Linked DNA regions of Kluyveromyces lactis. The protein of the gene in region 1 binds, or shares a complex with, the protein of each later gene. Links are inferred from orthologs where the notes say so. Each region holds a gene or a part of one and is shown in the gene's direction. Other genes may lie near its edges. The genes, in order: CDC53, PFU1, DCN1, HRT3, CDC4, LUG1 and KLLA0_F19943g.

Region 1 (4,169 bases):
AACAACAATGGTTACCAAGACTACGAAGACTTTTATTGCAAAGTCAATATCTACCTTTGTCGTTGAGATTTCTCATTGTGATACTCTGCATAATCTCTCTTGGCCTAGCAAGTAGAATATACCAGAACTCGGATTCCACTGTCGAATCCTTCGAATCATCAATACCTCAACAACCAAGTACTATCATGGCGCTATGTGTTAATTCCATCGCTATATTATATTTGGTTTATATCGGATATGACGAATTTTCAGGGAAACCGCTAGGAATTAGAGATCCTATGACTAAAGTCAGACTAATTATGCTGGACCTTTTATTCATCATATTTTCAAGTGCTAATTTATCGCTTACCTTCAATACATTATATGATAATCGATGGGTCTGCACATCTACTGGAACGTCACAAGTTGATCCTCCGCACGTAGGATATATATGTGACAAACAAAGGGCGCTCGCGGCGTTCCTTTTCTTGGTCTTGGTCACTTGGGTTGTAACGTTCAGTATTAGCATATTAAGGGTCGTGGAAAGAGTCAGTTCTGGTGCTCCAAGACCCTAAGACTATTCTTGAAACGGGCCCTTCCGACTTAAGACGCCTGTAGATTAATTGTTTTAAATAAATCATTATTCCATGAGAGTACATAATTTGTTTACAAACCCAACAAAAGAAAATCAAAAGTACCAAAGAAAACCTTATAAACATATAAGTTTGGGCCCTGTATTAAACAACATAATTAGACGACTGCAGTATGCTAAAGTATATTTGCCGAAAGCTGTAATCCTTACCCTCTTTTAAGTACTTTAATAATAAGATCAGATTCATATTGAGGAACAATTCAGGATTTTTTGATATTCCAATAATGTGTGGCAAACGAAAACAAAAATATAAGAAATTATAGTAACATAGTATGCAATTATATAAATCAGTATATAACAAGTAAGGCTGTCAAAAAGGGTCAAAATATCGAACAACTCGGAGATACTTCACGATAGAAGCAATATAAAGTTTTCCTGTGTGACCCTTTTTTATAGGATCCCGCCAACAAGTGGTGCATTTCATATTTAGCAGTGAAGGCGCTTTCTATTCTGTTTTATCCTTTCTTTCGATTCATTGAAAAGGGTTGCTCGACTAATTGGGACTCGAACTGTATTTTCTATCGCTGCTGATTTCAGTTTACTACCAAATCTTTATTTACAAGTACCGCTACCTGCGCCCTTGGGAATACTATTATTCTAAAGCGTATATTTAACTGGGTTAGTGGGAAGCAAGTCTCATTAACGCTTCAGAAAAGATAACTTAGGCATCGTTCAATAGAAATATTACTGGTAAAAGAAACTACACGTGCAATCAATAAGAAACAAGTCTAATAAGCTATGGCAGACACATTACCTAGATCAGATGATTTGGAAGCAACATGGAACTTTGTGAAGCCTGGGATCGACCAGATCTTGGATCGTGATGGTACATCGGATATAAAGACAAACAGAGTTCAGAAAGTTCTTTCCCCAAGGATGTACATGGAGGTATACACGGCGATTTATAATTACTGTGTCAACAAGTCACGTTCTACAGGTCATTTCCAATCTGATATTATAGGGAAGCAAATGAATCAATCTTCGATTCTTGTTGGAGGAGAAATCTATGAGAACTTAAAGAATTATTTGAAAGATTACATATCGAATTTAAAGAAAGATGATAATGTAACGTTTTTGAATTTCTACGTGAGACGCTGGGAAAGATTTACAATCGGAGCTATTTTCTTAAATCGGGTCTTCGACTATATGAACCGTTACTGGGTGCAAAAGGAAAGAAGCGATGGTAAAAGACACATTTTCGATGCACATACTTTGTGCTTGATGACGTGGAAAGAAGTTATGTTTGAAACACATAAGACGGAACTCGTTACTGAAATATTCGATCAATTGGATTTGCAGCGGAGGGGTGAATTAGTGAATAAATCTGCTATTACAATAGCAATAAAATCCTTTGTGATATTAGGTATCGATCCATCAGACTTAAAGAAGTTGAATTTGAATGTGTATATTCAAAACTTCGAACAGCCATTCCTACAGAAGACAAAAGAATACTACACGAAGATGTCCAACGAATTCTTAGACTCTCACAGTGTCTCTGAATACATCGAAAAGGCAAATGAATGCATAATCTTCGAAGAAAAGGACATGATTTTATATTTGGATTCCCATACATCGGCACCATTGTCTACAGCTTTGAACCAAGTTTTGATTGCTGATCATGCCGATAAGTTAAAAAAAGAGTTTATTTTACTTTTGGATAAGCAAGATCAAAGATTGATTAAGCTCATATACGAATTGATGAAACGCGATTACCGAATGTTACCAGATTTGGTGGATACTTTTGATATGTACATCAAGAGAGTCGGAAATGAAGAAATCGATAAATTAATTGATGCACATAATAAGAGTGCAGCACAAGATTCAAACGCTAAAAGGCAACCGGGATTATCACCTAGAGATTACTTGAAATGTTTAATAGGAGTTTACAAACTCTTTTACAATATCACCATAGAATGTTTTGAAAATCATCCTGCTTTTGCTAAGGCTTTAGACTATGGATGCCGTTGCTTCATTAACAATAACTCATTCGCTATTCCTCCTGGTTCACCTAAATTTGCGACTTCTAGAGCTCCTGAGATGTTGGCGAAATACAGTGACCAGTTGCTCAAAAAGTCGACCAAGAATAATGAACAGGTAGATTTGACCGTGGATGATATCATGACTGTCTTTAAGTTCTTGGCCGACAAGGATGCATTTGAGATGCATTACCGAAAAAATTTAGCAAAAAGATTAATTCATGGATCATCAAAATCAGAAGCTGATGAAGAAATCATTATCCAAAGACTACAGTCCGAGAACAGTCTTGAATACACCAGCAAGATTACCAAGATGCTACAAGATGTCAAATTATCTAAAAACTTGCATGATGAATTTTCCACGTTCATTTCACAAGATGGGAATAATACTACTAGCGCCGCAACTTTCAGAAGCAAAGTTCCTGAATTAGAACCTCTAATTCTTGCAGACAATGTATGGCCCTTCAGCTATCAACCAACAGAATTCGCATTACCACCAGTTCTTGAACATAGTAAGAACAAATTGGAAACCATGTATACTGACAAGCATTCTGGTAGAATATTGAAATGGCTATGGCCAATGTCTCGTGGTGAAATCAAGGCACATATTGGTAAACCAGGCAAACCACCATTCCAATTCACTGTGACTATTTTCCAAATGGCGATTCTTACCTTGTTTAATGATATATCTACGTTGACCTTTGAACAAATACAAGAGAGAACCAATTTGAAGGCTACACAGATTGCGTCTAATATGTATCCGTTTGTGAAGATGAAACTATTAATACAATCTCCAGAAGGGGTGGAAAGTATGATCAAGTTAGATACAAAGTACACCTTAAACAAACCCTATCGATTATCGAAAACTAGTGTTAATTTTGCAGCCGCTGTGAAAAATGATCTAACCTTTACTGCAACCGTTAATGGATCTGCATTAGATGAAACAGAGGCATCTGAGCAAAAGAAAGCAGAAAAGGAACTAAATCAACAAAGATTGATGTTCTTAAGAGCATGCATAGTGAGAATTATGAAGGCAAAGAGAAAACTACCACACAGTTCATTGATGAACGAGTGTATTGCCGAATCTCAACAGAGATTCAACGCCAAGGTGTCCATGATCAAAAAAGCTGTCGACAATCTAATAGAACAAGAGTATTTGAAAAGGACAGACGACGGTGAATGCTATGAATATCTAGCGTAAACGCTCACTTTTTTATCCACCTTTTACTTCGCCATACATATGTATAAGAAATGTATATGTATCAACATATATTTCGCAACCATTCGACCATTCGACCAAAGGTCAACCTTGGGCCCCATATTTTCAAGCATGAATATTCCCAAGAAAAAAAGAGAGACATCATGAAAGGACCGACGAGTATACTATTCATTACTCAATAGCCAAACCTAAATGCTTGGGTAGCCCTCTCTGCTCTCTTGCTGCTCTCACTACTCTCAGTGACTACCTTAGCATCATTCGGAAGGTGTTTGTCAATACCTGCTGCAAAAATCTACGTTCATCGGATTTAAAATCCACAGGAATATTCACGAAAATTGGTCAT
Region 2 (3,163 bases), on another chromosome or scaffold:
AAATTCTTTTGAGCCTAGATTTTCGAGTGATGTTAATAGATTGTGTTGGAGGATAGAAGTGTTGACCTCATCGGAAAAATTGTAATCCTCAGGTTCAGAAGTCTTCAATATACAATGTGAGATATTATTGACCAAGCTGGGTAAAAATGTATCTTCCTCTTCATCTTCAACTTCTTCAATTTGCGCATCATTTTTCGAAGTATCAATTTCTCCAGAATTGCAAACTGCTATATTGGAAGTGCTTTCAATGCATTTACAGACTTGAATTAAAACTTCAGAAAGGGAAACGAGCTGAACCAAAGATAAAAACTTCTTATGATCTACAAAGGAGCATAAGAGGTCAAAAGAAGTTCCGACAAGTAGGTTGTACTGTTCGTCTAGAAATACATTTTTCATAGAAATAATCAATTTGAAAAGTGGGACAGCTACTCTTCTTGCTGCTCTTTCATAATAGGTATCGTTATCCATGGCCAAGTTAGAAATTAAAACAACTGTCCTCAATTGCAATTTAACAACGTAGTCTTCCTCGTCAAATAGACCAAGTATCCTGCCAGCGTAGTAGTCGATAAATTCGTTATGTTTGGTACAGTCGCCATTCCAAAATACCTCCCTATTAGCATCATTATCAACCAGGCAATTTGCAATGGATCTTACTAATTCTGAAGAGATTTGAAGAAATTGTATCCGTTTACTTGATTCTTGGAATGCATAATCCAAAAAGGAATTTAGTACCCTCAACAATTGACTTAATAGACCAGTTTCTCTAATAAGGTCTCTGTTTGATTCAGCACGTAGATGCACCGCTAATTGTTCAAGAACTGTAATATAACTTTGTAAAAAGACGTCCTGGACAGGAACATCCTTTGGATTAGCTGCATTGAGCAATGGTTGCAAACCAAATAGTATCTGCTCATATTCCATTTTTGGACAATGGACTATGGGCTTTAATCGTGGTTATCATTTTTATAAAGTGGACAGTCTCGCCAAGACCGCACTTTCAATGATCGATCTTTAAACATACAATTGCTGACTTTTTAAGATTCTACTCATAAATGTCAACAACACACATAGGTAAACAAGAAAGGTAAGGTCATAAAATAATACTGGTTTGACAACCCATGACTAGAATTCTCTCGAATATTATCTTGATTATGGCATGAGTTAACAGGACTCGGTAAGTGACCTTCTGTAATAGGTCAGATGACCTATTATTTCATACACATAATAATACTTTCGGTAGCTGCAAACACTTTTAAATAGTGAAAAATCGCAAAAGTTGAGCATTAGTAAAAGCATCGACTAATTGCTAAGAAACTAATAAGGTAAGTAATATATTTCACATAGTCCATCTATGAGAACATATCCGACGGCTTCAAGAAACTATGGCTAATAAAAGAAGGCCAAAGAAAGTAAAGCCTCCTTATAGAAAATATGTTGGCGGTGTTGGATTCACACACACTCAAGGGTTCAGTCAAATAGCTGAAGAAAATGACACAACGAATATCCAAAAGTTTAATGAATTACAAATAAACGAAATACGTAATCCTTCTGATAGCGAGGAATCACGACTACAGGGAGATTCTGTCCGATCAGATGTAACTGATTACGGTGGTATGAAGCTTCCACTAGAAATATTTGACCTTACGATTTCTATGATGAGTCCGCAAGATATCAGGATGAACTTAGTGCTAGTGTGTCGAGCATGGTATCTTATATGCATACCAAAATTATATCGTACACCAAAGTTAACTAGTCGAAACTTTTTAAAGTTTGTGGAAACGGTATTGGCAGATAGGAAGAGAAAAACATGTGAGCACGTAGTTCATTTGGATTTATCTCCTATTATACAGAGTGGGAAGAATAGCTATGTGTCAAAAGTGCTACGACGTTGCTCTAAAAATTTGGTTTCATTTACAGCGCCACAGACTAGTTTTGGAATAGCTCCTTTGATCAGTCTTAAATCCTGCCAAAACCTTAAATACCTTGATTTAGGATTGGTATCAGAAACAGTCAATTTAAAAGAATTATTCTTGGCGATCAAAAACTTCCATGAGTTAACACATTTATCGTTTCCAAGAAGTTCCATTCAATGTGACGGATATAGAGACTTCCAATGGCCCCCAAATTTACAATATTTGAAGCTCAGTGGTGGGATCACAAATGAGTTCGTGCAAGAAACGATATTTCCTAATACCATCAAAATCTTAGAGTTTTCATTTTGTCCCCAAATTAATGAACATTCAATATACACAGTATTGGCCAAAATTGGTGATAATTTGACACAACTATACTTCCATTATCCAATGCCAGCCTTAAAGGACAATTCCTTGGATCATGTATTCAGGTACTGTTCCAATTTAAAAGTACTACAACTAATGATAGATTATTGCACCAGATGGGTTTTCAGTGAATACTTCTTTACGCAATTACCATATCCTCGGCCGCTTAGAACCCTCATATTGGAATGTAGCGGCCACCTTGGTCAAACATTCAAAGTACATCCTGATGACTTAACTATAGCGATATGTGAGGGTAGATTGCCTTGTTTAAAAATTATCCGAATTTCTTCTAGGCTAGGTTGGGACTCTCAAGGCGATGACGTCGGCGATTTAGTCTCGAGTTTGGAGGAAGAAAACGGCGGGAGCATGTATATCACATACTGAATGCAGTGAAAATATATAACACATAAAATTGATAGAATTTGGACATTTAATAGCCACAGTGCTTATCGGTTAGAATGAATACTCTTATTCAGAGTGCTATTAAATCCTATGCGTACCTTTACGTTGCATCAAAGCCTAAGAAAAATACATTTTTATTTAGATGTCGGATCTTGGCTAAGAATGGTTTACTTTAAGGACAAAAAGATAGGGCCGCAGCCAACAGTGAATCAGAATGACTGCAGGTTCCATCTTTTTCAGCAAGTTTGTTGTTACAAAACAAGTTTTCTACGTATGTGAAATACCATGTAGAGGATATACTTTAATTAGCAAAGTGCAATTATTGCTTTGAGTGATACCTTCAATTTACTAACCGTTGAATTCACTACTCAATAACTTCAGAAAACTAAATATTCATACGCGTTGGTGAATTTAAAACCTTTATTTCCGGGCCATGTGCTAGTTGTGCCGTTGCGTACCGAATGCCTTTCTCTCTCTGATCT
Region 3 (2,661 bases), on another chromosome or scaffold:
TCATTATTTTGGAATGGAAATATCCCGAGTAGTAGCGTTTTTATAATATCCGGTCTTGGATTCAAATATACTCTTACCGCCTTTGATAGCGATCGGAGACAAATGCCCATCGGATCAATTATCTTTAAACATTTCACCGTCTTAATGTAATAATACAGTATTTCGCAAGTTAAAAGACTTGAGGTGAGAAACCTTGATACAAATCCGTGATATAAGGTCTCAAGCACTTTTGTGCCGACAGTTTTTATGTCTTTATTCAGGATGCTCCTCAATTCAAGCAAGCATTTCCTCGAAGCAGGAAATTTCGGTACAATATCCGTATAAAACTCGTCGCATTTATATTTGATATAGTTTTTCTCGAAAGATTGATATATTATGGCTGTCAATTCATGATCATCTTCTATAATCAACAACTTGGAGAACTTGGACCAAAAATCTTTGATGAAATGGTTATAAGTGTTCATTACTAAGTATCGATCGTCAATCTTATTTTTCATTAGTTTCTGTGACATCTGATCTACTTTTAGGTTTATTATCCTAACATTGAACTCAATCTCTTGTCCATCAAATGCCGGTGCCAACCATTGATACATTTGATCAAACCTAACTAGATCATTATCGAGAATATGTGACTCTAATTTCGCATGCAATTGTTTCCTGAATTCATTATTCTTTTTCATCAACAACCGTTTGAATGAAATCATCTCCTCCTTTATCCAGTATACTGACGTTCCAAACATGAATTCGACCTTAGATATGTATAGTTTCTCTAGCTTGATCATATCCTTCCAGTTGACTATATCATCAAATTGTAAGAAGAAATGCGTTCGTATAAGCGTGAGGTAGTACTGCTCGATGAGAAACCGCGTTCTTTCATCGCTCTGCTCTAACACAACTTTCAAACATTGTTTAATTCGTAATGTCGGTATTTGTGGTTGGAATGTGGGATTGAGCCACGCAAGAACCATATCTACCTCTTCTTCTAAATTCGAAGCTAGGTTAAGTAGAATTTTCTCATGAAGTAATTTAAGTTCGTCATCAGTCTTAGTCATTCGGTCAACGGTGCTGGGTCCCTTTAGTCCTGCTTCTCATCACTTTTCACTATGACCATTACGTTTGTTGACATATTTTAAATATACAGACAAGTTCATTTTAAGTGAAATTACATGTTTTACTTCATATTCGTTTCGAGTTTTAGGGTAAAGAAGAAAGCAATCTACTCGCGACAAAACGCCAGAGCAAGCGATCATTTACTCGTGGATAACAACCCTTCAGAAATTTCATCGTATTGTGTTTTTATAATGGTATGTTTTTTACTATGCCTCTACCCTCTGGTCAGGTGAATGACACCTTTACTAACAAATGCTAATCAAATAATCATTTGGAAAAATAGGAGAAAGAGTTCATGAACCTCACAGGATGCACGTACTCTGTTGCACAGGAATACCTTCGAAAGAATGGAGGGCGTGTCGAGTACGCTTTGAACGATTATTATGATAATGTGGATACCATTGGAGGTATGCGTCAATCTTACAATCCCAGTTTAGTGGCTATCTTTGAGAAGTACTCGAATGGCGTTTCGGCAACAGAATGGGACTCTTCTGGGCTAATACGGTTTATTGAAGACCTCGGTATATCGATAGAGGACCCAATCACGCTATGTCTTTCTCAAATGCTATGCATCGACGATTTAACAAAACCAGTATCTCGAGAACAATTCCTAAATGCCTGGTCAGATTTATGTTGCGACACTTTAAGAAAGATGAAAGCCTATTTACATACGCTAGAAGAGAGACTGGAGACGGACAAAGATTATTTCAAATCAATCTATTCCTACACTTTCCCATTGAATACAGACGAGGGATCTCGTCATTTACCTAAAGATGTCGCAATAGAATACTGGAATATTTTCTTTAAAGACAATAAATATGCGTTGAAAATCTCCAAGGAGAGACTTAATTCATGGCTTGAATTCATCAATTCTGACGACTCGGATCCAAGGAAACAGAACATCTCAAACGATATATGGTTGATGTTCTATAAGTTCATTGAACAATACCCCAATGACGAAAGTTTAAAACAAAACTATGATGAAATGGCTGCTTGGCCGCTACTTATAGACGAATATTACGAATTCTTGGAAGAAAATGACAAGCTGTGATGCAGCGCAAACACCTATATCGCTTATGAACATATTCATAGATACATATATTCATATATACGCATTGTGTATGTTGTCAGGGTAACACTTGTCTTCCTATTCCTTTCAGCATCAAAATTCAAAAATATTTCAAAGATCAACAAGTGAATAACAATCGAAAGTAGTTGCCGCGAGGTTAAAGCAAGGGCAAAACGGGGGCAAAGAAGGCCAGCACGAGGGTATTTCGACACTTAAAGTGGGCTTGCGGTGTGCATTTCGGATTACGAACCAAGATACGGACAATGTCAGGCCAAGCAGGTAATGTACAGCTGCAGAACCTCACGCCAGCTTCTATGCAGCAATTGGCGGATAGACTAAAATCGTTAGTTAACGAAGCTAAGCGAATTGGTGTAGATACCAAGGAAGGGAAAGAGCTATTGAGACAAGCGGCCCGTATTAAGGCTTTGTACGAGGCTTACAGTAAACAGAGGCAGCAGCAGGCCCAAGCGCAGGCTGGAGCA
Region 4 (2,833 bases), about 1.3 Mb from region 1:
ATATACTGGGGCTGTTACATTGCCGATCACTTGATTGCAGTATTGTTTGGTCGTTCAAATTCTTTGCGTGTGTCAAATTCGACAATTCCAGAAACTGATGAGCTACCAAATATTGATACTGGTATCGAAGATTACCAATACGATCCTACAATTGTAACTTCTATTGCCAAACCTTTAAAAAAGATTATTGTGCTATCAAGAATAACTGAGGTTTTCGCCCCGAAGATATTCATACATGCCGGTTCTTTAACGGAAAGAAGGGAATATCTAACAAAATTCAACAGTGAAGTTTCAAACTGGCGTAAGAATCTACCTGATGAGTTTGCTCTCACTAAGGCAACGCTAATCAACTTCGATTACAATCCTATTTTGGCTCATGTATGGTATCATTATTTTGTTATCCTTTTGTCCTACAACAAACCGTTTATTGATTCACTTCCTGAGAGTAAACAGGCGATAGAAAACGCAATTGAAGAGTTGTACTTTTTATTAAGATCGTTTATGAGAAAATTCAAAACATTCCAGAAAAGTAACATTTATATGCTGTATTCTTCGATTCTTGCAATTCAGTGCATAAAAACTGGTTCAATTAAGAAGGACAATCTTTCGATATTCTTGGAATTTCTAGGATCTCCGTCATTGAACTACGAGCTAGCCAAGAAATTTTACGATAATGAAATGAAAATGTCAAAAAGTAGCAATATAAATGCTAATACTGGACTTGAAAACACTGCACTCTTGGGAAGTTTATCTAATGGTAATGAATTTGCCTTTGAATATAATTTTGATTTTACTTTATTGAATGAAATCGATAAATTAATCGGTGGTGACATAACAATGAAATAAGCAGCATCTATACAGCACTACACACTTTGCACTTTGTTTTAGTTCCTGCTTTTCATTGATGCACCAGATCTTGAAGGACTGGCTATTTATGATTTATCGACTGTGTTTCTTGTGATATTCACATATTAATGAACTTTGAAGTTATATAGCTCTTCATATATTAAATATGCCATGTACTTAATATTACTTTTTAGTCAGATAAGAATCAAGAAATCCGATTTGCTGAGGATGGCAGCTACTGACAAGGAATCCACTTCATATTTTTCAACATTGTGCGTACTTGTCCATCTCTCGGTAGTAACTTTATATTCGTTCCTGTTGCGTAAAGCTGAACAAAACGTAAACAGCATAAAAAGCTAGTCGGCTATATAAGGTAAAAGAGAGAGGAAGCATACTCATTACCAAGGGGCCTAACGCACGAAAAATAACAACGCGTAATGGAGGAACCGATTGAAGCTATAGCACTATGGGAGTTGGGCTATTCGAAGGAAACTGCCGGTGCTATGACCGACGCGATCAAATATTACCGTAAAGCATTAAGGATGAATCCGGACGTTGAGAAACTATATAGAAAGAAGATGCATGATGAATGGCGGTTAAATGAAGAGATGAAAAAGCTTAAGCTCAATTCTAATGTCAATATTGTTGATGGTTCATCGGAAACTGATCCGGACGGCAGAAAAGAGGAAACTGAAGGACTTTCTCAAACTGAAGACCTTGTTGAACTTCCCTGCTGGATTTTGGATATGCTCCCTGACGATATATTATCCATGATTATAGACATGGTTGTGTTAAGCTCAGCAGACTCGTGGATGAACCTATCTTTGACTTGTAAAAAGTTTAATTTGCTATGCTTCCACGATTCCTCACCGTACCGGACTTTCGCGGAATACATCTATAAGAAGCAAGTATACAACGAAAATGAGATGAGGCTAAACGGTATATCAGATATACAAGCACTAGCAGAAACCGTATGGGGTCAAAATTATAGAAAGATGCTAAAGGAACGGCCGTATATCAAGTTCCATGGAATATATATCAGTGTGGTGAATTATTTGAGGCACGGATCGATCCCGGAAGGATCATCTTCGCTGTTGAACCCAATCCACATGATCACTTATTACAGGTACTTCAGATTCTATCCAGATGGAAGATGCATTAGATTATTGACTACTGACGAACCAAATATAGTGGTACCTGGTTTCTCTTTAGAAAGATGTTCTGAAAGAAAAGACTCAGATATATGTTCGTGGTCCCTGTCATTAGACGACGGCCTTGATCAGTTGACAATCAAGAGGAATAGAAGAAAAGATGGGCTTGAATTTAACGAGATCTTGAAAATCTCAAACAGAGGTCACAAGAAGTTCAGCAAGTTGAAATGGATTGCTTCTTCTGCAACGAGGCAAGACGGCACAACAATGCAGTTCTCATTGAGCAAAGAAAAACCATTTCATTTCTCGAAGGCGAAGTCATACCGTGACTGCTAGATCAGGGCTGTCATATTTGATTACTATAACAGCCAGAGAGCTGTACTTCCATCACGACTAATGAGTGGATACTTGTAGCTCGCGCGATGCTAAGTGATAGACGATATACGAGAAAAGCCCGTTCACGTGATATCTTCTTACACGTGACTTTAAATCCTCTCCATGTGAAAATGTCCAGAGCGTCCGGATTTCAATAGAAACTGACGAAAAGCTCGATTACCGGAAAACATCACAGAGTACATCTTAGTTTATAGTAAGGTCCAACAATGTAATGTGAATGAATTATTGGAGGTGCGTTGCAGAAAAACATATAGCCATTGAGTGATATAAGTTGCTATATCGAGTTATTACAGCGTTGACTATTAGCTGGACTATTAGATCTGCGGAGTTTGATATATGAGTGCATGGAGATTCGAGGTACAAGTATACCTAGATTTGTTGCGTTTGATAGATTTATAAAGTACCCATCTAATTATAAAAGGGTATTTTGGACGCAGGCA
Region 5 (3,633 bases), on another chromosome or scaffold:
TTTTTCATTACCTGGTCGTAAAGGAACAGTAAATACAATGGAGCATTCAAACACCACGTTTCATAGCTACAACCGAAAGTGACACCTGCAGGCAAGTTGGAATCTTGCTGTTGGAATTTTTCCAAGCTGGATCCATTATACCCTGCTCCTAAGCGTTGGTATTCGATGCTCGGATTTTCTAACCAATCGATCCCGTTCATGAATTCAACAGTGGCCTCACTCAACCACTGCTTAGATTTACGTTTGAAATAGTTATAAGTCACTCTGGTATATTCACTCTCACGTTTATCCGAAGCATAATCAGAATCTCTGTGTGGGAATGGTCTAAAATGAGCACCTGCCCATGGTGATGTGAACGTATGATTGATTGGCTGATCTTGCGGGAATTGTTCGGATACAATTGTTATAGTCCTGATATCGGGTCTTGTTTCCAGTAGTCTCAGCGCACTTGACAAACCAATAACACCGGCACCAACTATACAAACTGACATGCTCCAATATTCTGCTTTCTCAATTAACTAAACCTCGGCCGTGGCTGCCTATTTCCTGTTGTTCAAATTTATGAAACTTCTATTCATATCATATGTAAATCTAGTCAGATGTTTCATTCGATCGTCTTTTATGCAAATTGGAAATCACATTCAAACAAGAAAAGACGACTCAAACCCCCACATCTTAACCCGTAATAAGCAGCCAACTACATAGTGTTTGCGCCGGGAATTAACCAAAAAAATCGGTAGATTAACTAGGAACAGCTTCAAGGCATTTTTGTCCTGTCAGTATCGTATATCACCATTACAACCGAGATCGCTGCTCTGGTAATAATTACATTCTAACACGTGACCTGTGTTGCATGCAAGGTAAATACCTATGTAGGTCTAAAAGATAGAATGGTTTAGCTTAATATATTAGCCTCAAAGCGTTTAATAGCTAACTAATAGATGGCGAGAGTATCTCGCATAGATATAGGGACTGATAACATTGATTCAACAAATCTATGTTTATTTGCACTGTTATCGGCACTCTCAACCAAAATCAAAATTAAACTCTTGTACGATTTCTTTGTACAAAACGAAGTCACATCAACATATTGACTGACAGACGGAATATTGTTTAGCAGAAAGATAAGGAGTAACGGCAGGTGTGGGGTAGTCGTAAGTAACTTCCATTAGTTAAGGGTATAAGTAACATGGATCTCAATAGGCATGCGACCCCAGGGGTACCACAGTATCCTCTACAGAATGTTCCCGTTCCATACCGGTACCAACTTCATCCTCAGCCAGCGTCTCAGAGTAAACGAAGTATACATTATCCCCTTCAACAGCTTGACGACGATTCTGACAGCGACGGTCAGTATCACAAAAAGTTAAAGCCAAATCAGCAGGCTGTTTCCAGTCCCAACTTGATCGAGGATCAAGATGGGCCGTTACCAATATCGCCGATTGCTTCCCCATGTCACACACCTGAAGTGGAGGAACCAAGTATTGACGAAGTCATAGGGACTACAGTAGCTAGACTCAGCAGTACGACATCTCATCCAAATGCTTTAACAAGTCTTATATTTGGGCTTGTTTCCAACATGGATAGAACTCAGCTTTCAGATTTGGTCAGTATAATAACCGATAACTTGAAACGAGATTTGTTCCAATCACTACCTAATGAAATCACTGTGAAGATCCTATTAAATTTATCTTCGGAAGACATCTTCGCATGTTTGTTGGTTAACAGAAATTGGAATAGGTTAATCGAGGAGGCGCCTGTTGTTTGGAAATGGCTAATGCTTAACGAAGGTTTTGTCACCGAAGATCAGTTCCCGTCGTACTGTAACAGTTTGCCCAGTAAATATAAGCATTTGATCAACCCTGACGACAGATTTAGATTAGATTTCCTGGAGAACAACTGGTGTCTCCAGAACTGGTACGATCCAAACTATAAACCAGGGAGGACTTGTCTTGATGGTCATAGTACCAATGTTGTAACATGTCTACAATTTGAAAACAATTATATTATTACCGGAGCAGACGATAAGAAGATCAACGTGTATGACGCTGAGAATGATCTGTTCCTATTAGAATTAAACGGACATGAGGGCGGTGTGTGGGCACTGAAATTTGTGGACGGTAAGATTTTAGTTAGTGGTTCCACAGATAGAAGTGTGAGAATCTGGAACATCGAAACTGGTAAATGTACCCATGTTTTCAAAGGACACACATCGACGGTTAGATGTTTAGAAGTGGTTGAATATGGTGACAGCAAATACATTGTAACGGGGTCTAGAGACAATACCTTGCATGTGTGGAAACTTCCCCCCATGAAAGAGCTAGACAAGGGATCGCAGGAACCTATTTTCTACAGGACACCAGAGGAAAACCCATATTTTGTTGGGGTATTAAGAGGCCACATGTCTTCGGTAAGGACAGTGTCTGGTCATGGTAGAATTGTCATAAGTGGTTCATATGACCACAATTTGATGGTATGGGATATCATTAGTATGAAATTACTATATATTCTAACCGGTCACACCGACCGTGTGTACTCGACCATTTATGACTACAAGAGGAACAGGTGCATATCAGCAAGTATGGATACCACAGTGATGATCTGGGATCTCGAAAACATTGAAAATAATGGGACAACTACTACAATCAATGACGGTGCATCGATCAAAGTGGTTGGAAGCATGAAATGCCTTTATGGACATACAGCTTTAGTTGGTCTACTTTGCCTATCCAATAAATTTTTGGTTAGCGCTGCTGCAGACGGTTCGATACGCGGCTGGGATCCAAATGATTATTCAAGAAAGTTTTCGTTCCATCATACAAACCTGGCTGCTATCACTTCATTCTCCATGAACGATAACATTTTGGTTAGTGGATCGGAACGACAATTCAATGTATATAATTTAAGGACCGGTAAGCTGATACACAGGAAGCTACTCACAGATTCGGAACAAGTGTGGGGTATCAAATTAAATAACAGAAAATTAGTCGCTGCGATCGAGTCAGTGGGACACAGTTACGTAGAAATCTTGGATTTTGCTGCTCGGAATGGTGACAAGACTATCAGAACCCGGACTAGAACAAGAGTCGACCATCAAATATATCGAACGTCACTTTGGTCTTCCACTCTTTAACATTAACTATCAATTTAACTTGCATTACCACATCTGGTATCTCGCCGTATGGAAATATTCTACCATCAAATAAACTCTGTAATACCAATCCTCTGTATCTTTGTTCTCTTCTCTTCTCTTCAATGCCAGCAGACATAAAAAAGTTGTATGATTAATTTATCTACGGCATCACCTATCCCTAAGACATATATAGGAGTTTCAATACTATTTCTACGTGTTACAAACTTTTCAGCCACCCCAGTACTGGTGGATACAGTCGACTACTATACCAGACATATACAGTTCTCAACATTTACCTATCTATGTCTTCTTATCAAGATAGGGTCATCCCTAGGTGTGGAAAATTATGCCAAGGAATTAATCGGGTGTGTTTTGCGATGAGGAAAAAAGTAAGTTGCACATTGAAAAAAATGTCAAATTTACACAATATAAGTACCTCTTTCGATTTTGTCCACCTATTCTTGCAACATTCCAGTGCCTACTCAAGCATAGCGTCTTGG
Region 6 (4,072 bases), on another chromosome or scaffold:
GAGTTGATGGAAACGGATTTGCAGAAGATTATCAACCAACAAAATTTATCAGAGGATCATATCCAATATTTCGTTTATCAAATACTAAGGGCTTTAAAATCGCTACATTCGGCACAAGTAATCCATAGGGATTTGAAACCAAGTAATTTGTTACTGAATAGCAATTGTGATCTCAAAGTGTGTGATTTTGGGTTGGCTCGTTGCCTGGCATCGAGTGATCAATCAAGAGAGAATATGGTGGGTTTCATGACAGAATATGTAGCTACCAGATGGTATAGGGCTCCAGAAATCATGTTGTCCTTCCAAGAATACACAACTGCAATGGATATCTGGTCATGTGGATGTATACTAGCAGAAATGATCATGGGTAAGCCGCTTTTCCCAGGTAAAGATTACCACCATCAACTCTGGATCATCTTAGAAGTTTTAGGGTCTCCAACTTTGGAAGACTTTGAACAAATCAAGAGTAAAAGGGCAAAAGAATACATATCTCAACTACCCATGAAGAAAGGTATACCCTGGGCTAATGTGTTAAATAAAGAAGTTAACCCTCTTGCTATCGATTTATTGTCCAAGATGCTAACTTTCAACCCAGACAAGAGGATCAGTGCAGTTGAAGCGTTGGAACATCCATATTTGGCAACATATCATGATCCAGATGACGAGCCAGATTATCCCCAACTAAACCTTGAAGACAATTTTTGGAAAATTGACAACGAGGCCCGCGATAAAAACGAGGAAGACGATATTCCACTGGAACTGTTGAAAAAGATGCTTTATGGTGAAGTTATGAAGCCTCTAAATTGATATGTTCGATATTCTATGAACTAAAAAAAAACTATCCGCATAGTCTTTGAATGAATGTACTGAGACTCAAGGATTTTACGTTTCATGGGTACTTCTCATTAGGACGCCTAGTCTGTCAAATTGAGGAAAAGTAATACAAGAATTCTCATACTCATATTAGACAATCATATAGTTAATTACATAACTAAGTAAAGCTACGAATAACCACATCACGTTTTTCATACTCTTTGATCCCTTATGAACCTTAAGTGTACTTTATGCCCTGAAATGAAAAATAAAGTAGCGATATAATTAGAATGAACAAGAACTTGAACAAAAGACCCGCATCAATAGAAGAAAAAATGAAAACCAAAGTGGATCTTAAAGAAATCATCAAGAGCACCAAAACAGGTGCAAATAGCTTTAAGGATTGGTGAAGTGTATAAAACGTGTTATTCGGGGCTCGCATATCATAATTCGTTCAATATGATCAGTGAAACATCGACGATGCGGTTACCTTCAGAGATAGTCTATGAAATCTTATCATACCAGTTCAAGGATCTTATGTCTAATGATCACTCAGCTACTAGTGAGAAATATCACTCCAATATCAAAACTTTCTTAGGATCGAACTCTACTGTTAACAGGACATTCCATCATGTATGCAGAGTACTCATTTATAGATATTTGAACTTTACTACAGCAAGGTCATTCCACAAGCTTTTAAACACTTTAAAAGAGGATGATCCTGGATTAAGAAAGTTGGTAGAGGTAGCAGACTTTCAAGAGTTAACATCGATTGGTCTTGGACGGACTGGAGAAATGAATAGGATGATCAAAAACCTCACAAATGAAACTCTTTGGGAATTCTTATTATTGACCAAAAATACGCTAAGGGAATTTCTAGCCAGTGAGCATATTCAGGGAGATATAGACGAGAGGATAGTCCATTTCTTACTTTCTCCTGGAACAGTGTTGAGTGTGGTAGATTTCTGTGGATGTTCCGGATCCGTTTTCACAAAACAGTTTGTTACAGCAGTAGAAAAGATGGCGGCACACCCAAGTTCTCGTGAAAACTTTCAGATTACATGTCTAGGTTTGAATGACTGTACAGACATTCCAGATAATACCCTTTCAAAGCTATTGAACCTTCTGCCGGAGTTACAGAAGTTAGATTTAACGCATACTGCTATTGACGATGGTACTCTAATAAATAATTTACCACATTGGAAAAATTTGACACATTTATCCTTTGGAGAATGTTTGCAATTGACGCCAAGAGGAATTTTGGAGTTCTTTTCATACCATCCAGCTGTAACAGATGAAAATAACAATAGTACGCTACAATGGCTAAACGTGCAAGTGCATCCACATACGTCAACATGGACCGATACGCAGACATTGTTTTTGTTAAAGAAGTTATGTCAATATGGACACAATAAAACGTTGGAATACCTTAACATCGGAGGACTGCCATTGCACTATTCAGATGACCGCACGCTAATCAAAACTCCGCACTATTATCAGTGCCATGATTCCTTACAGTTTATAAAGTTGAATTTTCCAGCATTGAAAAGTTTGAATATAAAGGATACTAATGTACCTTACGATAGAATAATACAGTTCCTATCACCTGTTCATGATAGTGACATCGAGGTTGAACAAAAGTTAAAATTTTTAAATATCTCGAACAACTCCTATATTAATCGATGGACCATCCAGGATCCTGCATTATTCACATGTTCCGATTCTTTAGTGTCATTGGAATTATCATTTGACTCTTGGCAGCAGATTGAAAACCTGAATGATCGTCATGAATTGAACTGTTTCAAAAACAAGACTGGAAGAACATCAATTATTCAAGATATAAAGAACATGGAAAGCGTCAAATGGAAATGTTACATCGATTCATCTTATGGTAGAAGGTATTGGCTATACAAGTGTGACCCATATTTGAATCGTGAAAATATCGACCAAGCAGCCTCATTGACCAGATACGATTCCGATGGGAGAAAGATCATTGAGATCGTAAAGCAACCCGACTTTCTTAAATTCGCCCAAAACAAGATCATGTTAGGATGTGGTATTGTTCCAATGAATTCTGCAAGAAGAAGATTAATATATAAAGACATGAAACCTCCAATTTCAAGATTTTTCAATAGAGATGGCCGGTTCGCCACACCAGGCACACACGCAATGCCTATTCTCTCACCAAGACTCCCACCTGGTGGATGGAGGCTTATCAGAAATGATGACGAGGATACTACTACAGAAGATGACGCAAGTACAATTGAAGAGAATAGTCCAATAATCCATAACTCGTTCCAATCGCTTACTTCGATTCCCGAGACGCGCCCACCTCTTGTGCGAGAAAACACAAGAGATGCCATCTACTGGGACAGATCCGCAACCTCTGCAGATCCCACTCTTACGGAAAGTGAATACGAGAATGCTGAAACGGACTATGATTATTTGAACGATCCTGAACTTCAGAGAAGAAGATCACAGATGAGCTTGTTCAATAGTTATCATCGTTCTTCTTCCAAAAATAACCTCAACAACAACAATAACGGTAACACATCCAATCTGACGAATGCATTCAAGCAACACTCACAGTCTCAATCTCAATCCCAAACGTCTTTGCCACACTACTTGTCCACTCCTTCTTCTGAACACTATAAAAAAAACGACAAAAACAAACTAAGTGCAGATTACGTTTATGACCCTAATGAACCAGAAATGAACAAGCGGTACCGTATCCACTACGAGCAACTGCAAGAATACAAAGTATTTGGCACTGTGGAACGCGGAATGTATCGCTACTATTCTCTCAAGACTTAATCAAGCTTGCCCTTTTTTATGTAAATTGTGAATCATTTGTGACAAATCGCATATACTGTGTCTAGAGAAATTTAAATTTAATAATAAATACACCTCACATCACGCTCGCACAAAGTTTGCGGGCCTCTTATGCAACCCAGTGCTGGTACCTGCATCCCGTCCTATAGCTTCCTTTGTGCAGTTTGGCCATAGACACAGTCAGGGTAGCTGACTGGCAGTTCATTACTATACCTAATTGGGAAATAAATAAACAAAAGGCAACTGTTATGCCTTTTCTGTTCACCCCATTGCTGGGTTCGTAGGAGCTTTTTTTTTTTAGTGCACGATTGTCTCTCGAGAATGAAAAAAAGTGCAATTTAACGACAGGTACTTTCGACTGGCTTCTTTTGGGAAAACCTGATCTAGTAAGAGATGCAAATAGTTTATATTTAGTGTTACAGTGAGT
Region 7 (3,430 bases), about 1.3 Mb from region 1:
TCCGAGGGATTTGGTGGTACAAATCGATTCCGGTGACTTGACTCTTTATTTCAATAAGAGAATGAAAACTATTCACGTCAATGTTGCTAACCCATTGGACTGCCGTATTTTGAAGAGTTTGTTCACAGACATCAGGAAACAACGCAATATCAATGAATCTCAATTCGAATATCCTAATTTCAAGGGATACGTTTTCCTCACTTGCACGATAATAGCTGATTTGACTATCAATGGATTGCCATGTAAAAACGTCTGCTCGAAAATCGATGAGATCAAAACCAATGAACAAATCTACGATTTCAGTAACGGCGATGGCATGATGCCAGGTTTATCCTTATACGTTGTAGGGCCCTCACTTTGGCGCTTGGGGGTAAAGAATGAGCATATCATCTTCCTTCCACTAAAATTGAATTGTATCTCAAATTTAAGACAGTTCAATAAGAATTTGCAATTTGTCTGAAAGAAAGTCTTTTTGCGCAGAGTCAGACGTTTTTAATTTTTGACCTATTTCCACTGAATTTTTTTACTGCTTTCCTGAACTGTTACTTATGTAACATCTTCTCACCGTCTCCCATCATTTGCATATTTCATCTCTCATTATCCTCTTAACCTCTTCCTCTTTGTCAGCTCATCTTAGCCAAATTTTTTCAGTGCATCATTCTATTATCTAAAGTTTCATTCTTCAAGCTTTTCGATGTAGGAGTCGCATATTTTCTTTACGGAGTTTGACACATTGGCCAGCTAGTACCAGTCGAATCTGCTCATCTTCTCGTTCACTGCTGTCACAAATCTCATTTTAAAAACGTTTACTTTTTAAGTTGTATTATTTTTGCTTTTACGCGACTCTCGTGATTCGAACGGAGGAGGTTTTTTATTATAGACATTGTTTTTTTTTTTTTAGTATATATGTATTATTGTTCACAGGCTTTTTTTGTGTACTTGTCGCAGCTGGCGACACATATTCGTTAACCAATCATTCAATTATCGAAAAGCTTGGTACTCCATTTTGAATTTGGCTCATTTCAAGTTGTAAAAAAAAATCTTAAATCTCTTTGTAAAACGGTTCATCCTTATGCAGGGGAACTGCTGATCATCTCTGTATTGTTTCAAATTGACCAAATGTCCATAAAACCACGGAGGGTAATATGGACTAGATATTTATTCTTGTGAAATTCGTACTAACCATATCATTCGCTCACGTGACATTCTTATACATTGCCAATCATTTGTAAGCTACTGATGAATTAATACAAATGCTACCTTAGCCTCAGGAAACGCTTGTTAACTTTTGCACACGGAATGCAACAACGCACTCAATTGATGAAAACAGCACTAATATAACAGCACAAATGCTCGAACAGCTTCCGAACGAAATATGGCTTGAGATACTGGGATATTTATCTCAAATCGAAAAATCATCCTTGATGATGGTATCTCACCAACTTTACGATAAAACAGTGGCGTCACTCTACCAAAACCTATATTTGAACGAAAGACCAATTATACACATCCCAGAATATCCTTATTTTGGCAACAACTGGTCTACGCTTGTGTTTTCTGAAGCAGGGCGATCATCAGTTAAGTTTCAAGCGCTATTCAATACTCTAAGCAAGAACGTTGAACTTTGCAAGCTAATAAATAAGATACACTGTACTTGGCATTTAAATCGGAATTTATTGACAAGGTTTACCGGGCTCATATGTGAACATGCGACAAATATTACTTATTTTGAGAACTTTCTATATATCGAAACATTCGAAACGATCTCCAAGTCTCAGCTTGCATCGCAGTTAAAATCCTTAGACATAGTCCCGCATGCAAAACTTCCGGGGCCTGCATATGCTTCGTACTTGACTAGCATAACATCTATGGCAAACAAATTTAATTGGGCCAATATCAAGAGCCTTACAATATACTTTGATGCACTCATGTGGTTCCCAAACTTTGTCCCACTATCGGAAAAGTTACAGTTAACTGAACTATGTTTAAATCTTCGAAATGATTCTTTTCCAGGATTCGAGAGTGCACCAAGAACATCAAAATTTAGTGATTTATTTGATGTGAATACTTTGGAAAAGCTTTCCATTTTGTCGTGGTACGAGACGGAAACGTTGGATGTATACGAAGAGTATGGTTTGTTCGATCTTTCTAACTTTAAAAACCTCAAAGAGATTTCGTTGTTGTCTATATTTTACAACGAAAACTTCCTATTATCCTTGTTTTCTAACCTCACTAGATTGGAACAACTGAAGTTAGACTTTATGTTTGATCACGTCTTATCTAAAGACATCCTTACCATTTTATCTGGCATCAAGACGTTGAAATACATAGATTGTAAATTTGACGACTTGGATGAACCTATTCTTGACGTAATTGAACTAGACGACTTTGCAATATTTGAACTCAATCAAATGTGCCTATGCGATAGTTGCAAGCATGTTTACAGTGACATTATTCTCAAAAAATATTTCCCTACCAAACAGGCTTTCATGATTCAAAACTCGAGTGATATTCATTCTAAACATTTCATCAACCATATCTTTAAACTCTACCCAATAATCCCTTATTTCCATTTACTAACAACGTCCCCCTGCATTGCATACAGATCAAAGTCAATTGAAGAACTCGCTAAGAAGAGTAACGAGCTTCTAAATGACCTGTTTTACGAATATGAATCTGACACTACTGATACTAAAATAACTCCGGAAGATATCGTTTCTTTGTATCATTGTATATGTCATTCAATGAGGAGAACTTTCGACTTCTTTCTAAAACTCTTCCCCAGGTTACATATACTGGTTATCAACGATATGCCAACTATCGTTGATGAACAGGATGAACAAAAATTTACGAAGCCAATATTTTATTCATCTGGTTACGAAAGTAATCAAGTATACCAAGTCATTAACGATGAAACACTATTTGATTAAAGAAAGAGATGATAAACTCAACATAGCACATGACACATAGACTCCAATTTCGTACAAACTGTACAAACCATAAACTTTTATACTCTTGCGGTATAAAGCATCTGACTATTATCCAGATTTTTGAGATATTGTGTATACAGATTGTTTAAAAAATGTAAACAAACGGATTTGATTCAATCGAGATGAGACGTAGTTGCGGGAAAAATGATCGTTTTAAACAAAAGAGAGACGACACCAGCTGCCAAAATGGAGTCACCATCCAAAATCCCCCTCCAAGAACTTTCTAGTAATGCGTCTCCACCTTCGTCAGCCAGTGGAGAAATTTTCAAACGTCTTTCAGTATCACCTAATAGAAATCGTAAACTCCTGGAGAAGCCTGCTGCCAGGTTATCACCACAACAAAGAGTTCAAACCCCAAAGAGGTTGCCTTCACCTGATATACTTGGGCCCAATTTAAGCCTTGATAGATACGAGCGTCAGAAATCCAGTGTTGTGAAGAT

What was found.
Region 2: CDC53 (region 1) and PFU1 share a complex: the UniProt entries of both Saccharomyces cerevisiae proteins name them as parts of the probable SCF(YDR306C) complex. The link is inferred for Kluyveromyces lactis from reciprocal best matches to the Saccharomyces cerevisiae genes CDC53 and PFU1.
Region 3: the proteins of CDC53 (region 1) and DCN1 are in contact, whole or in part, in a crystal structure (PDB 3O6B), measured with the Saccharomyces cerevisiae proteins. The link is inferred for Kluyveromyces lactis from reciprocal best matches to the Saccharomyces cerevisiae genes CDC53 and DCN1. Residues at the interface, in NP_010150.1 of Saccharomyces cerevisiae: His767, Val786, Ser787, Lys790, Arg791, Asp794, Ile797, Gln798, Arg804, Gly805, Asp806, Asp807, Gly808, Glu809, Tyr811; in NP_013229.1 of Saccharomyces cerevisiae: Asp181, Ser224, Asp226, Arg229, Met230, Leu233, Arg237, Glu250, Thr251, Ala252, Ala253, Trp254, Pro255, Phe256, Ile257, Asp259.
Region 4: CDC53 (region 1) and HRT3 share a complex: the UniProt entries of both Saccharomyces cerevisiae proteins name them as parts of the probable SCF(HRT3) complex. The link is inferred for Kluyveromyces lactis from reciprocal best matches to the Saccharomyces cerevisiae genes CDC53 and HRT3.
Region 5: CDC53 (region 1) and CDC4 share a complex: the UniProt entries of both Saccharomyces cerevisiae proteins name them as parts of the SCF(CDC4) complex. The link is inferred for Kluyveromyces lactis from reciprocal best matches to the Saccharomyces cerevisiae genes CDC53 and CDC4.
Region 6: CDC53 (region 1) and LUG1 share a complex: the UniProt entries of both Saccharomyces cerevisiae proteins name them as parts of the probable SCF(YBR352W) complex. The link is inferred for Kluyveromyces lactis from reciprocal best matches to the Saccharomyces cerevisiae genes CDC53 and LUG1.
Region 7: CDC53 (region 1) and KLLA0_F19943g share a complex: the UniProt entries of both Saccharomyces cerevisiae proteins name them as parts of the probable SCF(YDR131C) complex. The link is inferred for Kluyveromyces lactis from reciprocal best matches to the Saccharomyces cerevisiae genes CDC53 and YDR131C.

Annotation. Positions count from the first base shown.
Region 1 is NC_006042.1:536,552-540,720, forward strand, and holds CDC53 (cullin CDC53), read left to right. Parts: upstream 1-1,369; coding exon 1,370-3,808; downstream 3,809-4,169. Other genes in the region: SRF1 (phospholipase D regulator), read left to right, coding at 1-554. UniProt on the Saccharomyces cerevisiae protein: Core component of multiple cullin-RING-based SCF (SKP1-CUL1-F-box) E3 ubiquitin-protein ligase complexes which mediate the ubiquitination and subsequent proteasomal degradation of target proteins.
Region 2 is NC_006039.1:871,053-874,215, forward strand, and holds PFU1 (Pfu1p), read left to right. Parts: upstream 1-1,382; coding exon 1,383-2,663; downstream 2,664-3,163. Other genes in the region: BEM4 (Bem4p), read right to left, coding at 1-921; HNT2 (bis(5'-adenosyl)-triphosphatase), read left to right, coding at 2,896-2,952, 3,063-3,163. UniProt on the Saccharomyces cerevisiae protein: Substrate recognition component of a SCF (SKP1-CUL1-F-box protein) E3 ubiquitin-protein ligase complex which mediates the ubiquitination and subsequent proteasomal degradation of target proteins. Probably recognizes and binds to phosphorylated target proteins.
Region 3 is NC_006040.1:1,374,487-1,377,147, forward strand, and holds DCN1 (NEDD8 ligase DCN1), read left to right. Parts: upstream 1-1,166; coding exon 1,167-1,304; intron 1,305-1,393; coding exon 1,394-2,161; downstream 2,162-2,661. Other genes in the region: APC2 (anaphase promoting complex subunit 2), read right to left, coding at 1-1,052; TAF12 (Taf12p), read left to right, coding at 2,443-2,661. UniProt on the Saccharomyces cerevisiae protein: Required for neddylation of cullin components of SCF-type E3 ubiquitin ligase complexes. Neddylation of cullins play an essential role in the regulation of SCF-type complexes activity.
Region 4 is NC_006042.1:1,812,962-1,815,794, reverse strand, and holds HRT3 (SCF ubiquitin ligase complex subunit HRT3), read left to right. Parts: upstream 1-1,283; coding exon 1,284-2,333; downstream 2,334-2,833. Other genes in the region: CHA4 (Cha4p), read left to right, coding at 1-846. UniProt on the Saccharomyces cerevisiae protein: Substrate recognition component of a SCF (SKP1-CUL1-F-box protein) E3 ubiquitin-protein ligase complex which mediates the ubiquitination and subsequent proteasomal degradation of target proteins. Probably recognizes and binds to phosphorylated target proteins.
Region 5 is NC_006040.1:647,484-651,116, reverse strand, and holds CDC4 (SCF ubiquitin ligase complex subunit CDC4), read left to right. Parts: upstream 1-1,189; coding exon 1,190-3,133; downstream 3,134-3,633. Other genes in the region: KLLA0_D07568g (FAD-dependent oxidoreductase), read right to left, coding at 1-491. UniProt on the Saccharomyces cerevisiae protein: Substrate recognition component of a SCF (SKP1-CUL1-F-box protein) E3 ubiquitin-protein ligase complex which mediates the ubiquitination and subsequent proteasomal degradation of target proteins. Recognizes and binds to phosphorylated target proteins.
Region 6 is NC_006037.1:218,874-222,945, forward strand, and holds LUG1 (Lug1p), read left to right. Parts: upstream 1-1,272; coding exon 1,273-3,627; downstream 3,628-4,072. Other genes in the region: mitogen-activated serine/threonine-protein kinase KSS1, read left to right, coding at 1-807. UniProt on the Saccharomyces cerevisiae protein: Substrate recognition component of a SCF (SKP1-CUL1-F-box protein) E3 ubiquitin-protein ligase complex which mediates the ubiquitination and subsequent proteasomal degradation of target proteins. Probably recognizes and binds to phosphorylated target proteins.
Region 7 is NC_006042.1:1,856,424-1,859,853, reverse strand, and holds KLLA0_F19943g (uncharacterized protein), read left to right. Parts: upstream 1-1,349; coding exon 1,350-2,930; downstream 2,931-3,430. Other genes in the region: KLLA0_F19965g (uncharacterized protein), read left to right, coding at 1-460; FIN1 (Fin1p), read left to right, coding at 3,135-3,430. UniProt on the Saccharomyces cerevisiae protein: Substrate recognition component of a SCF (SKP1-CUL1-F-box protein) E3 ubiquitin-protein ligase complex which mediates the ubiquitination and subsequent proteasomal degradation of target proteins. Probably recognizes and binds to phosphorylated target proteins.